Schizosaccharomyces pombe: one gene and its partners. The protein of the gene in region 1 interacts with the protein of each later gene in a pairwise test. Each region holds a gene or a part of one and is shown on either strand. Other genes may lie near its edges. The genes, in order: sec62, man1 and sad1.

What was found.
Region 2: the proteins of sec62 (region 1) and man1 interact in a two-hybrid assay, tested with the Schizosaccharomyces pombe proteins (2 studies listed by BioGRID).
Region 3: the proteins of sec62 (region 1) and sad1 interact in a two-hybrid assay, tested with the Schizosaccharomyces pombe proteins (2 studies listed by BioGRID).

The regions. Positions count from the first base shown.
Region 1 is NC_003424.3:3,601,947-3,606,057, reverse strand, and holds sec62 (translocation subcomplex subunit Sec62), read right to left. Parts: upstream 1,984-4,111; 5' UTR 1,967-1,983; coding exon 1,145-1,966; 3' UTR 513-1,144; downstream 1-512. Other genes in the region: SWI/SNF and RSC complex subunit Ssr1, read right to left, coding at 1-260; FYVE tethering component Pep7, read right to left, coding at 2,569-4,111. UniProt on the Schizosaccharomyces pombe protein: Acts as a component of the Sec62/63 complex which is involved in SRP-independent post-translational translocation across the endoplasmic reticulum (ER) and functions together with the Sec61 complex and bip1 in a channel-forming translocon complex.
Region 2 is NC_003424.3:5,234,651-5,240,372, forward strand, and holds man1 (LEM domain-containing protein Man1), read right to left. Parts: upstream 3,729-5,722; 5' UTR 3,669-3,728; coding exon 1,134-3,668; 3' UTR 506-1,133; downstream 1-505. Other genes in the region: SPOM_SPAC14C4.04 (uncharacterized protein), read left to right, coding at 1-446; poly(A)-binding protein Nab2, read right to left, coding at 4,155-4,397, 4,444-4,542, 4,586-5,167. UniProt on the Schizosaccharomyces pombe protein: Required for correct meiotic chromosome segregation.
Region 3 is NC_003423.3:2,301,629-2,307,164, reverse strand, and holds sad1 (protein Sad1), read right to left. Parts: upstream 3,400-5,536; 5' UTR 2,984-3,399; coding exon 1,439-2,983; 3' UTR 1,408-1,438; coding exon of another isoform or gene 925-1,407; 3' UTR 504-924; downstream 1-503. Other genes in the region: DNA polymerase delta subunit Cdm1, read left to right, coding at 925-1,407.

The DNA of each region.
Region 1 (4,111 bases):
GGTGTTTTCGACGTATTTTTTCCATCAAAGAACTCAGGGTTTTGTTTTTTCTCAATTTCGTGAACTTTAGAGAAATCAAACCATTGCGCCCACTCAGGGACTTCTACTTGTGGTAACTGGCTCAACAAAAATTCTTTGGCCTCGTCTCTGACTTCTGGTTCAGTGTCCTCCTTTTTAGAAACATCCAATTCCATTGGCTGAGCAGAATCTGGTACCCCGTTTTCGTGTAAGTCATGTTTATTTTCAGTAACGTTGGACATTGTGGTGTTAGAGTCTAGTATAATATTTACAAAATCCTCAACGCCAAGGGCTTTAAAAGCTTCACGTCAATAAAATGCACTTAATCAACGAAAAATAATATGTATTACCCTATATGATTGAGGGATACCTTGAAAATTCAAGTTTTTTTAAAATGCCCTGCAATTAGTAGGTAGTGGGAGTTGACTTAGAATGACGATGTCTGGTTAACGAAATATACAGCAAACGCACTATACACTAAAGAATTGAGAAAATATTCAATATGGAAAGTAAAATTTATTGATATGAAGTTAAATATCATATGATATGATGACAATTTATACCATGAATATTAGTGAACTTGTAATTATAATCACTCCTATGTGATCAGCCAACTATAGTAAGAATGCACTCCTTGTGTCATGAGGAAATGCTATACTAGCTTTAAAAGGAGAAAAGCAAGCTAAGAATCTAGTAATTTCGCTCAAATGTGTTATAAATTGAGATTAAAAGAATAAGGGAATTATCAAACCACCTACCAGGAGTGGTACATAAATTAAAACGCTTCATATAAATGGGTTAAGCAAGAATTGTGTGTCAATAAGAGTAAATATTCATTGACTGACAAACTTGCCGTAATTAAAATGCGTAACAATAAGAAACACAAAAGAATTTAGTGTCCTCATTTAGTATATACTGATTATATATGTATACGTTTGGGCATAAAATGAGAACGCCAAGGTTTCTTGGAAAACACATTTAGAATCTCAAAGAACCTTTCTCCGAAAACATAGACGAAATAAATTGTATAAGGAGAATTGATAACGTAAAGATATGCACTATTTTTTTTTAAAGTAAGTAATAGTGGCTGAGTGACTGGATTCATCAACGGTACAACAATTAATTTTTATTCAGAGACTTCTTCGACGGTAGGATTTCTGTGCCTTAAATTCTTTAAAGAAGTGGTGGACGTAGAAGACTTTTCAGGAGTTGCAGAAGCAGCTGGTGAAGTGGCTTTTTTTGACAATTTCTTGGATTTCCTTGTCTTCTTTACCTCAGATTTGGAATTGTGCCAACTCCATAAAGGTTTAAAGCTATCACAGAAGCCAACGTCGGCAAGAAGATTGGGGAATAGCCAAATGCCAGGGCGCACGATGACAGCAGTAATGCAAAATAAGAAAAAACGTAAAATAACCAAAACAAAGAATAGACCGATTACTCCAAGGCCTCCCATACTTAAATACCAAGCACCCTTGCGCATAAACATTGGCCACAAGGGGAACAAAACGAGTGCCAATACGACAAGAGCGAACAGTACTGCCAAAGCCATAACGCGTTTTGGAAGAGGCTCGTAGAGCCAAACATAATGCATATCGTCTTGAAAATCTTGATTACGATTTATCTGTAATTCTACAAGCTTCTGCTTTCTTTGTTTAGGGGGGAGTTTATCAACGCGAACCAGCATCGAATTCATAATGAGCAATTTGAGAACTTCGATTGCTTCCTCACGGCTTGAAATTTCTGGAAACCCTTTGTATTTCTTAGGCGTATACGCTTCGGATGTTAAAAAGCGAAGAACACGCTTCACACGAAAGTAGTATACACGTTTTCCATTGAGGATCGCTGGCTTTGTTTTCAGCTCAGGGCGAGACTTGAGGAAGTTTGTAAAGCGCATCGAAAACTTGCACTTGTCTTCATCCTTCAAAACTGGTACATTAGAAGAATCCATAGGCAAAATCCTTGTTTGGAAAAATCTAAAATAATGTGGTTCTGGAGTAGATGAAGTCTGTACACGTCTTTAAGGTAACGATATTTAGGTCACGAGGTAAAGCCAAAATCAAAATTCAGTATTATAGATTTGGGAAAATCTATATTATAAATTTTACATTTAGTTTAATCATTGTTATTATCATGCTGTCGAATATTGATTCATTCTTTAAGTAAATTTGTAAAGTTGGATAGTTCAAAAAGTTAATTCAGTCTTAAATTTTTGTGCCTGTGCCCCATATTCATAACTTAATTATACTATAACACTTGAAAAAAATATTTGATTATTAGGGAGAGTAAAGCACTGATTAAGGAATACTAATCTTCAGAAGTTAACTCTAAAAAAGATGCTCTTCCTATTCAACTTAATTGATAACATTCATTGCTGTTCGACGAGGAAAGCAAAGTCTTCAAATTCATTTCATCAATAAATATTTATCTATACAATTATTCACTCATCCATCATATGACTAACCTTCGCAACACATTAACTAGGAAATTTTGATTACATAAAAGTGAAACAGCATCATTAAACAAGTCAAATTTCCTTTATTGAAAAAATCCTCAAATATCAAAAAGATCCAAGTCATGAATCTTTTCAGTGATTGAATGAATTTCCTCATGCAAAGGTGCAAGACTGGAGAGTAAAGTCTCTACCTCAGAAAACTTTCGTTTCGCTTTAGCATCTTCAATCATATTTTCAACGAGGAAAACTTGCTCCTCTAAAACTATTCTTGTTTGCATCAACTCTTCTTGCTTCTTTTCAACTTGCTCTTTCTTCTTTTCTAGCTCACGTTCAGACTCAGAAGTCCAAGCTTGGCCAACCTGCAAATGGTAAGGAATGGCCTGCAAACGCAATATGGTTTCTTGTAAATATCTTTTTGCTTCATTAACAACATTCTGCTTAAATTGTTCTTCAGCATCATTGGATGAGGGATGATTGGCGATTTTTTTCATAGTTCCATCATATTTCACACATAGCTCAAGAAATTTTTTTCGTCTATCTTTTACTATTTTCAGGGTCGCTTCAGTGATTATTTCACCACTTAGTAATTCAGACAAAGAATCCTCGTAAAGTCGATAGTAATTTACCATAGCCTGTCTAAAAACTTGCAAGTGTTCAATATGTCGGATGTAGCCAAGTGATTTCGATCTTTCCGTTTGATAAAGAACGTTACGGAAATAATTTTGATTGCAACTCATACAGATGAGGAGAGGTTGCGGGTGTTGAGGAAGACTAATCTCTAATACACAGAATCTGCAGATCACGCGTCCGCAAAGCCGACAATGCCGGCGTCTTCTAGTTAGAGTAAAAGAATTGTTGCATTCAGGACAAATTTGTACAACGGAATCATCTTGCCAATGAACGATGCTTTGCTCCAGCCTTTTAGCCTTGTTCAAAAGAAGCGCATCAAGCATCGAGACATTTTCCGATGTCCATAGCTCTTCAAGTTTTTTCATACGTTTGCTTAATCTTAAAAACTCTATTCTTCTTTTATCAGCTAAAGGTTTTCGAAAAGTTTCGAATGTTTGAAAACGTGAGCGAATTAAACCATTTGAATCATTATACCCAGGACGTCCTTCATAACATTCTCGACAAACACGACACCAAAATCCATTTTCAGAGTCGTAGGTAGCATGAATACTGAGTTTGATCTGGTACATTGAGTGAAAGTTGCAGAAGATATAACCGCATTTACGACAATGAATATGACCATTGATGAAATTTAAAAGCTTATCACACATCGGGTCATGGCAGACCATGTCAGGAACCTCTGGTTGCCAGTGATTTTTGACAACCAAGGAATCTGTGAGCTTAGTTGCTTCAAGGCCGACAGCACCTGATGAATCCCCATTCTGTTCATATGGTTCCATTCTCCAAAGACGTTGAGCGGCTTTCATTTGCAGAGCTGAAGCACCATTTAAAGTCCTTGTTAGCCATGAATTAATGGAATCTTGTCGCTTGTGGATTTTTTCATTATCATTGAAATGAGTAACATCGAGATGATCATTTAATGCTGACAAATTTGGTAATTCCAGCCCACAAATTGGGCATTCAGTGGCTTTAACGATATTTGAAGAATCACTTTGAGCACTAGTAGAAAGA
Region 2 (5,722 bases), 1.6 Mb from region 1:
CTGATATGAGCTTTACCTTTGAAAACTTTGACTTGGTTTATGTGCCAGGAGGGCAGGATCCCGCTGTTTTAGAACTTGTAGAGTCTCCTCGTCTCAGTTCATTGTTAGCTGACTATATACCTTTATGTGCCCGTGTTAGTGGCACCCGCGTTTTAGCAACAATGGCTCAAGGAGCAATCGCTGTTCAGCGGGCTGCTCCCAATCTTGAGATTAAATCGACTACGACTCCACTTTATATGGAAAGAGCGTCTTATTTATTTGGCGCATCTAATCCTCCGGCTTATACTTATACTTATATTCCTGAATCGAAATACGTACCAGGGCCCAAAACTGCTCACTGGGTTTATTCGGACGAAAAGTTTTTCTATGCTTCCGGTCGTTACTCTGGCGATGTTGAACTACTTTGTAAAGCTTTACGAAATCTCGTAGCAAGTGCATTGCATTAATCTTTCTTATTTGTCTTTACTATTTTATCTTATACTAAACGTGTTAATTATTTCTTTGTTGAGTTTCCCAGATTCTATTTTAATTTCATATTCTATAAATTTCATATTTCTGCGTATTTAGAGTTATATTGCAATAAAGATAATTCAATTTGCGAGTTTGGCTTTTGTTTGATTTGGAGCATTTTATGGCCCTTGTTTATCGTTCATTTTTAGTCCTAGAACTCTAAAAGTGTATTAGACCTGTTTTAGACTGTACCGTTCAATACCGTCGAGGCATTGAATTTTTACAAACATGCCAGAACCCTTCAAAATAAGAACTGTCACATGGAACTCTTTATTTTCATTGAGGCCGGATGCCAAATGCTAATTTGAAATGCTCTTTTAGACAGCTAATGCAAACGGTTCGGGTCTAAATTTGATATTCTTTTTTTAATTAGAAAAACCAATGTTAAATTAATGAAATTTTCGAATCTGTTGATTAAATTTTTCGATAGTGTTTCAATCTATAAGCTCCTGTGCTTAACAAAGTGCAATAACTAAAAAATAATTATATTAACGTGAGGAAAATAATGTTGACATAATAGTACCTACTGATGCTGCACTCGTATCTAGATTCATAAATCATCATGCCAAACGACATTCATAAAGTTTGACCTTAAGGTCATTTTTTATATATCTAACCGTATTTTATAAGGCAATGTCATCTGAAAAAACCCCGATCCATTCCCAAGCACGATTTTTTGCCAAGCGCTCACTGTCCCATACCTTTACGCTTACCATTCCTTCAAGGACTGAAACCACCTTTTCCCATATTTCTAATTGAATTGACAAAGGGAGATGTACAAGTTCAAAAAGGCCCTTGTCATCTGCGACTCCAGATACAAAACAGTCAGAACGTAGCTGCACGACTTCTACACGAGGATTGACAGAAAAATCTGTCAAGGACTTTAGCTTGGTTTTTTGTAGCTTAGCAATACAATGTGAAACGCATACGGAGACTCCATGCTTTACTACATGCTTCTTGGCATAGACTCTTATTCGCCATACAACGGTACCGGTAATAGCTGCCAATATACCAATCAACAAGTAAATTCGCCAACAGGATATAACTGCTGAAGTCAAATACTTCATTAAGGAAACTGTATGAGAGTAGACAGATCGCAAACAATTAGTCGGAAATTTACTCAATGCCCCACGTACTCGGAGCTTCCATAGCTCAAGAGTAAATAGTGGAGAAAATAAGTAATATAGTACTTTTCTTGTCAGCTTTGAATTATATAGACGGTTTAAAGTAGTCTTCAGATATACTTTAAAATCTTTAAGTCCGACTACATTATCGATGTCCTGCTTATACATGTAATATCGATCCTTAAAATTGTCAACAAATGATTTTCCGTTTAAATTCTTTGCACTTTCAAAAGTGGCAAATTCTTTAGGGGCTTTATAGTACCACTTTCCGATAATAGACATAAATGCCTGCACCATCTCTTCAACCTTATTAACCTTCACGGTATTCGGAATACATCGTGGGTATGGTTTTAAGCCGAAATCTGCAAGTAAAGGAAACGAAGCCTTTAATCCTTCTTTGCAAAATAACTGACGATTGAAACCACATTCAGCGTTCTCAGGACAAGGTTGACAAGAGGCTTCAATTCCTAAAGAGTGAGCAAATGAATATGCAGACTCAATAGAGGAACGTAAAACTCCTGGTTGGAGATAATATAGACTAGAAGGATAAGGTTCGGCAGGAACTCCACAGAAGCCAACGCGCTGTACTTCTTGATGCCAAAAGCCTACAAATCCCAAGAGAGGTACGACAAGCAATACAAGCCATAAGGAATTTACCACTTTGGTAAAAGAGAAAATTAAAGAAATGAATGAACCAAGACTAAAGTATGGCCTTTTAGGTTGCCTATCCTTAGTCAAGGAAATATTTTCCTCCACGCGATCAATACCCGTAGTACTAAGACCGAGATCAGAAGAAATCTCATTAACCGAATCATCGTCGGGTTTTTGGGAATCAAATTTTTTCTTCTCTGGCGTCGATGTATTAGATGCTTCTAACCCAAAATTTGTAGAAAACGCAGGGTTGACAGGACGATGAATTGATGCATTTGCTTCGTACAGCTGATTTAGGTGTTCTACAAAAATTGAGGAAGATTGAGATTGAGGAAGGGGTGATGATGAATTCTTTTTGGGATGAGTCCATGAAAAACTGTTATTTTCTGGAGTGAAGTTCTCCGAATTACCAGTAGACAAGCCAACCAAATTGTTGAGTTGGTCAAATGACTTGTTTGATTTGAGATAAGAGTCGGAACTTTGTTGAAAATTTTTTCTGACTGAAAGAAGGTTACTTGGATTACATTCAAGCGAATTCAACGACGACTTGATAGGAGAAGCGTAAACGCTTGACGAACGGGAGGTAAACTTAGGCTTTAGGTTTTCGCCTAAGAAACTGAGAAAAGAACTTTGGTTCAATGGATTTTCGCTTTTTGGAGACGTCGTGTTCAATACCTTTACTGGCGTTGGATCACCCGACACGGAGGCATTAACAAGATAGCTTTGATCATAGTCTAAAAACTTTGAAGCAGGTGTTACGATATTACCAACTTCTGCAGAAAAATCGTAAGTAGCGGTGTCTACAGAAGAATCCTTGTTTGTTAAATTCTGGACAATTGAAAAAGACGATTCCATTGAGTTGTCGAGGTTTACAACTGCCGCATTAAGCTCAGTTTGCGTCTCAAATGGTATATGTGTTATTTCTTCGTTTCGCGAATCTATTTTGGCAATCTTTGAGGCATGAAATTCAGATTCTTCTGAAATGGTTATCGTGTTAGTATTCAAAACTTGAACGTTCTCGTCCTGTAACATCCCCATCACATTATCTTCAAATTGTGAAGTTTTAGAAATTTCTGTATCATTAGCCTCGTCAACCATATTTATTTTTCTCTTAGAGCTAATTCGAGCAGTAACATTATTCGTAACCCCTGCCACCCTTCTACGAGGACTACGAGAAGACGGAGGAACGTTCTTTTGCTGCAATTCTGTCATAGAGATCAAGCCATTTTTTGCCCTTCGTAGTTTACTGAAAAGCGTGATTAACTGCGCTTTCTTCGCCGTTGACGGATAGTATATTTGATATTCAGTTAATATATTACGCAAATCTACTACTCGAAGAGACGAAGGATCATAATCGGGGTCAAAATAAGAAGGGACCTCCATTCAATTAAAAAAAACCTTTTAACTAAAGGGTATGTGTATAGACGTAAAACTGGCGAATGTAAATACCAAGTGATTGTTGTCAACAACATGGTGTAAGCCAAGTAACCAACAAGTAACATAAGATGTATTTAGTAATGAATGTCAACAAACGTGGGTATTTGAATATGTATAATATTAACTTAACCGAAGAAGTAAATAAATCATTATTTGCATAATTCACATCAAAATAAAATTTTCATTCACTAAAAAGACATCAATATAACGAAAACAAATTTTTTAAATCAATTTAGCGACTTGATAATTGCCGATTGCAGCAAACGTAGCGACAAATAAAACTTTATCGTTTTAGCAATCTATACAATAAAATAAATATCAAGTTTGCAAACTCTAGAAGGTATGTTCTTAAACGAAGTATCCTGGCTTGACTATCAAAAGTAGATATGTGCCAATTATACGAACACGAAATAGTATCATAATTCTCTAAATTTACACAGAAGGAACATGAAGTTGTTCTTCTGACTCGTTAACAGCAAACGAACGTTCACTCAGGGACGTCTCTTCTGTTTTAGAGGGTGGCCGCCATGTCATATTTCTGCTTTTCGTCGGGTGGATAAAACGACAAGCTGGATTCAAACACGGTTTATATTTACAAGGAATTGGAATGGTTGACATGGACATGAAAGGTGGTAATGTAGTAACCGTAGCTGGAGATGGATGTCCCTTGACACACTGTATACGTTAGTAATAGTTAGATTTAAATTATTATGGTACTTACATCAGCAGCTTTGCATTCTTTACCAGAAGCACACATTTCACTGCTCAGGACCATACCTTCTCCTGGGGCTGCGGCTGGTGTCGGATGAGCAAATATACACTAAAGAGTTAGTTTTAACAAATTATCTGATATTAATACATACGTTAGCACGGGAGCACTTATCGGCATATTTGCACAAAGGGACCTCTTGGGTTTGAGTGAGAGCACGCTTGGCAGCAGGCATAACGGATTTCGAGTAGTTAAACGAAGCTGCCATGGGATTGAATCGCTGTTTCTGAGATGTAAGTTTGAGCTTTTGTCCGACACGCCCAGTAGGTAGCTCCTTCTCTTCACGTAACGAAGTTATATTAGGAGTTTGAGAAGATTGAGGTTGTATGCTAGTTTCCGGCACAGAGAAAGATTGCTGCGACTTGTCAGTTGACTCCTTCTCGATAAAATCGATTTCGTCGATCTTGCTGACTGACTCAACTGAAGCATTTTTTGATTTTTCAAGCTCTTCAATTTGATTAAATAACCAAAGTGAGAAGCTAGTATCAAAATCGGACCCTATTAAATCAACTAGTTCTTCATTAATTTCAGTTTGTGTTTTTCCATTGCTAAGCATCACAAGAACAAAATCGGCCAGAGAAGCAGCCTCTTCTCCCCACCCATATTCAGAAAGTTTTTTTTCAATCGAATCATGAAGTTTTTCACTATATCCAGGTGTTTCCAGTAATGTAGTCATGTTGTTGGTTTACAGTCAATAATTAACTAAAATAAGCCAAAATAATAGAGATGCTCAAATTTACAATAAATGTACTCCGAGAATTAGTAAATCAATTCCACTCCTGTTATGGAATCAGAATTTAATAAGTTATGTACCGGTATATGCTCTAAAATGAAATCAAATAGCTCAACTTAGCATGAAATAAAGGAATTGAGAAGAAAGAATACAATCACAAAAATATGTTCACAGACAAGAAGTTGGCAAATTTGCCGTTCCAAAAGAAATAAACTTCCTATAGATGATGCGTTCGGAGAGCTTCAATGGAATACGTAGACTAAAGGTAATTTCTAGTAGCAATAGTTATATTGATACTGCAAGCCGTAAGTTAAAATACAGCAAGAGCCTCAGTTCAAACGTAAGTGGAATATAAGAAATATCTTTCACAGTAAGAACAGAAAGAATTAATAAATAGCATAAAATAGCGAGTTTGCTAATTTTTTTTCGAATATTATACCCAATTTCACTATAAGAACTATTCAACGACTAACGATGACACTATAACGCCACAACGTA
Region 3 (5,536 bases), on another chromosome or scaffold:
ATTTATCGACTGCATTAAAAAATATAACAATTTGGTTGACTACACTGTATTTAATGATAGTGCAGTTTAATCATTGAGAAAGCCCGGTCAGTTTGTTTACCACTGTATAACTAACAGTTTAAAAGCCCTTAAAAAAAGACAACTTAATGAAACTAGATACTTAAATTACTAAAAGCTGTAAGGGAATTGAAGTTTCAACTGTCTTTGTGCTTCAATTGCAGTGTAAAAAGTTACGCTGTTTTAGCAAAGCACAAAAGACAAATTTTGCAATACTCAAAGCTATTTAACTATAAATTTTTTAAATTTTGAAAATGTTAATAAGTATATCTATTTGCATTTACGAAATTGCCTATTTTAAATCGGTAAAGACCAAAACCCTTTTTAGAAACGTATTAAAGATATGTTAGGAAGGCTGGCAAGTGATTCAATTGCATGACCAAGGCTGGATTAAGACAACACGTATTGCTAAAATACTTGTATCTAATTATGAAATTTCCACAATACTATCTGAACTAATAACGAGTATTGTTTACTTCTTGTTTGCTCCAACAACGAACTAGAAATACCGAAATAGGGGTCGTCAAGAAGTTTCTATTTTAATAATTATCAATAATGCACTTAAATACTTGGACCTAAATGAATAATAATATATATGAAGGCTGATATATGTATAACGATAAAGAACGAGCGGATGGCTGGATACTTATTTTCTCGTCAGCGTGACGCATTTTAAACATCGCTATAGTAGTCATCTAAAGTTATATATACATATTAAAAGTACACTTGCAACCAAATGTACTTTTTCAGAGATTTCTTTTGGCCAAACAAACTAATGCTCTAAATTGAGTAAACACGAAAAAGAATTGGATTTATAGTGCACCTTTCATTCTAGTACCGCAGTGTTACAGAATTATATCACGCAGTATGAAGAAGCGCACTACTCAAGCGAAAAAATCAGGGCAAAACACTAATATTCGCGACGTGTTTCCACATGTAGTTCGAAGTAATTCAAGTCAATCCCACATAGGGAAGAAAGTGAGTTCTGAACAGTCGCCTACACCCGATGTTACAATTACAACCAAAACCTTGGATGAGAGAATTAAAGAAGACGATGAGCTTTCAAAAGAGGTAGAAGAGGCTTGGAATCAAATTATGGCTGAAAGGATTAGTGAACCAATACATTGTGAAAATATAACCAAAGTAGAGTTCATTTTGCATCACTTTGACACTACGGCAAGATATGGACCATATCTTGGTATGACAAGGATGCAACGCTGGAAACGTGCAAAAAACTTCAATTTAAATCCTCCAGAAACAGTGGGAAAGATATTGATGCTCGAGGAAGCAGATGAGGAAAATCGAAAAAGAGAATCGCTCTTTTATGATCTTCAAACCATTCCAGGCTAGATTATTTTTATATCTTACATTTTGTAGGTCTTTAAGATGAATCTTGACCCGTATTCTCTGCAGTACTTTCGGCTTTCTCACCTAAAGAAGGTATTGGTTGTTCGTCTGCATTGGGTACAGTCCCATGAACTCGAACTTGATACAAGCATGTGTAATTGGGATTTCCCCAGTTGCTTTTTATTTTTAAGATCACATTCTGTATCGGTTCAGCGACAATATAATTGGAGGATTCAAACGAAAAAGTTTGAATAGAGTCTTCCGTTAAAGAATATCTCGCCTTTCCCAACAATACAAACATCTTGCTGGACATTCCCTGAACCCACAACTCAAAGTCCTTGGGAGCGCTAGAAAGATCATGAGCAATCTTGTGCTGAACGTGCTCTATTGTGACATTGGTTACATATACAGGGCGTGATAGGGAAATTCCTAATTGTCCCTCTGAACCTTGAAAGCTCCAACACATCGCAACTGCGTTGTTGGGAGTTAATGCTATGCTAGGTTCGTGTCCTCTAACAACGAGCGAATCAAAGAAATAGGAGGTAAATCGTGGTATGAATGCAGATGGTCGTCTCACATAGCGTTTTGAGGTTAAGGCAGGTAGTACTTCCGCTCCTGTTGAGAGCAATGCAAAATTCGGCATGGAAACCGGATCGGTCAAGTATTTTCGAACCGTAGATTCGATGAAGAACTTCCAATCGTCATTTAGTTCAACTTCAAATGGGACCGATGATTTGTAATTAGACATCTCCTCCTTTAGCGACTGTTTTAATTGCTCTACTTTTTGTTGTAAAATCTTGTCAAATTCCTTTTTTGTAATTAAATCTCCCGTCGAATAATCGAATTCCTCATTGCCGCCAACTTTAGAAGGTGAATCTGTGAAGTCTTTAATAATATCTGGCTTTAAACTTGTTTTGGTGTCATTGGATGCAGGAGGAATGTTTGGTACGGGCGAATTAGATGGTTGGGAATTATCTGATGAAAATGATCTTGAGTAAAATTCTTGACCCTTGTGAAGTAGAGTAATTATTAGGAGAGTCGAAAAGAGAGTGATACCGAACCAAAGTAATGGTTTAAATTTTGAGGAATAAAATTGAGATTTCCTTGTAGATCTTTGATTCATCGGGTACCTAAAACTGGCATTTGTTGCGGTGGTATCCTCGTTCAAGCTATACCCTTCATCATCACTTTCCTCGTCGATGCTGTTTTCGTATTCTTCATTGACAAACTCTTCATCATCTCCATCTGATTCATAGAATACATTCGTCGAAGCTTCGTGTCCATTTTTCACTACGTTTTCAAATTCTTCGTTATCAGATTCCTCTTGCTCGTATCGAATATTAGAGTGGTAAGCCTGTTCGAAATTGGGAGCTGGAAATCTTTGTTTAGGAGTAATTGATTCAATGGACACCCTGGTAGGAGGGGACCTTATCTTTGTATAGCGAAGTTTATGCATTTTGGAGGCCAAATCAGCCGTATTTTGATGAATCTGAGCAGAGTTCGCTCCTAACGTCGACCAAGCTGGATGAGCGCCATTTTGACGCTCTCTTTTCCCTCCAACCGGTGTATTAGTAAACATTGATGTATAAAAGGCTATTTGAAAATTAAAAGAAAAATATACAAACGAATCAGTGATAAATAAATATGTAAAAAGAGAGACAAAAATTGAAAAGAGAGTATTGGAAGGCGAGAATTTGAATTAGTGTTCGTATTCAAAAAAGTGAAGCTTAAGTAGGATTCTGTAATTGAATGCCTTTTTGATCGCTTTATGCGAATGTATAAATTATTAATAACAGACGAATTATCGTTGACGCCTTTTTTATGTGAAAACAGATACCTATACACACAATGTATGTAATTGATCCTACCCTAGCAGAGTATACCTTTCTTGAGGTATCATTCCAATTCCAATACTGGAAAATTCCTTCACAAACAATAAAGGATACAATACCAAGATAAACACACTAGAAATGGACGGTACGAAGATTGACTGCTGAGAAAGAGTTTTGTTGTGTTTACGGTAAGTGTATACACTAAGAATTTACTACGTTATATATCGCTGACAATCGATAAATATTCATAACATAATATATGGAAATAAAGCGAGAAATATTTGATGAATAAAAATGGTAGACTGTTAATACAAGAGGGTTTGAACGCTGATGAATTAAGTACTTGAAGCTGATAGGATCCAAATCCAGCAATTCGCGTGTTTATATAAAAAACAGGTTTGGTAATTTAGGAGTTTTCGTGAGAGCATGGCAAAACTGTTCAGTGAAGTGAGAAGTTTGATGGATTCAAGTAATAAAGCAGCCTTATAAAATAGCAAGTTCCATACCTATTAATATTTTTACCACTATTAATATTACTTCGTTTGCATTTAGATTTCCAATTTTTAAAGAAAAAGAACAAGAAACCGATCATATGCTACCAAATTTATTTGAAAAATCAAAAGTATTCAGTATCGTTTCACTTTTAATCAGTTAAGTAAACAGATTTGGCATTTTGCTGTAGTAGTAGTTCAACGACTTCAATTTCTAGGCATTGAAAAAACGTTTTTGCGTTTGTTAGGGATACATTTCATCGACACGAGAATCTACGCCAATGATTTTCAAAAGCAAATTTCAACAATGATCAATTGAGTAAATAAACATTTAATAAACCTTTAATAAACCTTTCTACTGTTTAATACAACATTGCCGCTGAATATTATACTTTATAGTTCGTCAAAGTAGGATTTTCGCTTTTCATCATATAGCCAATGAAATTCGGGCATTCAGTCGCTTTCAAATTGCTTGAATATTGTGCCGATTGCGAAGGTAGCAGCAATACGCAACCATAAATTGTCTAACTAACTGCTTGTTTTTGCATACTTAGGATCCCATTTTACTGCGACACTGATACGGTCCTGTCAAAAAAAAATGAAACGAAAAATTTTCATGTTTTGAGCTTATTCATCGCTTGGTTTCACTACATTCAACAGAAACTGCACAATGTTGTATATAAGGAATCAAAGACAAGCTATGCGTAACTTTGAAAACGTCAGTATTTCAACAAGGACGAAATTTATGGCACGTTTAACTTCCAATTAGCCCGTATTGTTTTTTTGGCTAGCGAAAGTAATGAATTGAGGCAATGTCGAGTAGTATTGCACAACCTAGTATTTGATCCTGTGCGCTACATAATGAATCCTAATAAATAAAACCTCAATAATCAATCTGCTCAACCAACCGTCAAAAAAGGTTCAATCATTTCAATTACTCAACGTGGCGCCAAGTATGTCTCATGATTGTGTATTCATCTCACGACTTCATTTCATTTCTGTACCTTATACACTCACTCAGCTACTTCAGGACTAGGTGTTGCGACACAAACGAGAAACCATGCGCTGGACATCATTCATGGGCCGAAACCGATGTTAGCTTATTGAGCAACCCTAAAATCCGGGAAAACTTGTGATCCATCAAAGTAGATAGAGCTGACAATGTGGAATAACTCATATGAAAATTCAGACATTGTTTGCCGTTTACGATATCTCTCGCTATGTGGAATTGATCCGTTCGGTAAGTAAAGCAGTGCAACGTGAATAGCAAATTATCACCTGTGGGTGGTGAGTAAATAAACAAACGCCTAAGAATGAAAAAAATTTTTGCAGGTGGTTCAAGTCAGGATGCTATAATGCAACATCTTGTGAATCAACGTCGCATATCGTAATGGCTACAGCAAGGAAATCCCGGAGGAGATAGTTTTATTAACCAACGTGTCGGACCGCAATATTAACGCCGAAGAGCAGTTGTATGAGTATGTTCCTAAACGGTAATAGTAAAATTACTTTATTCACCGATTTGTAACAAAGCACACTAGTTATGGTAGGTTCACGAGCCGCTATTAGGTTACAAGCTACTGTCAGGTTAGAGCCATTGTAAGGTTATAAGTTACAGTTGGGTTAGAGCTTGTTGTAAGGTTAAAACCAGTGAACCATAGTGTAGTAAGAGATGTTAATATGTTAGAGCCATTGCTAGTGTGTAGCTAAATTCGCCCTAGGCACGTTGCTCATGTAGAGGAAGACACGAAACACGGATGAGATTCAATTGTTCTACACTTAATTGCATACAATCTTTAATAATACACT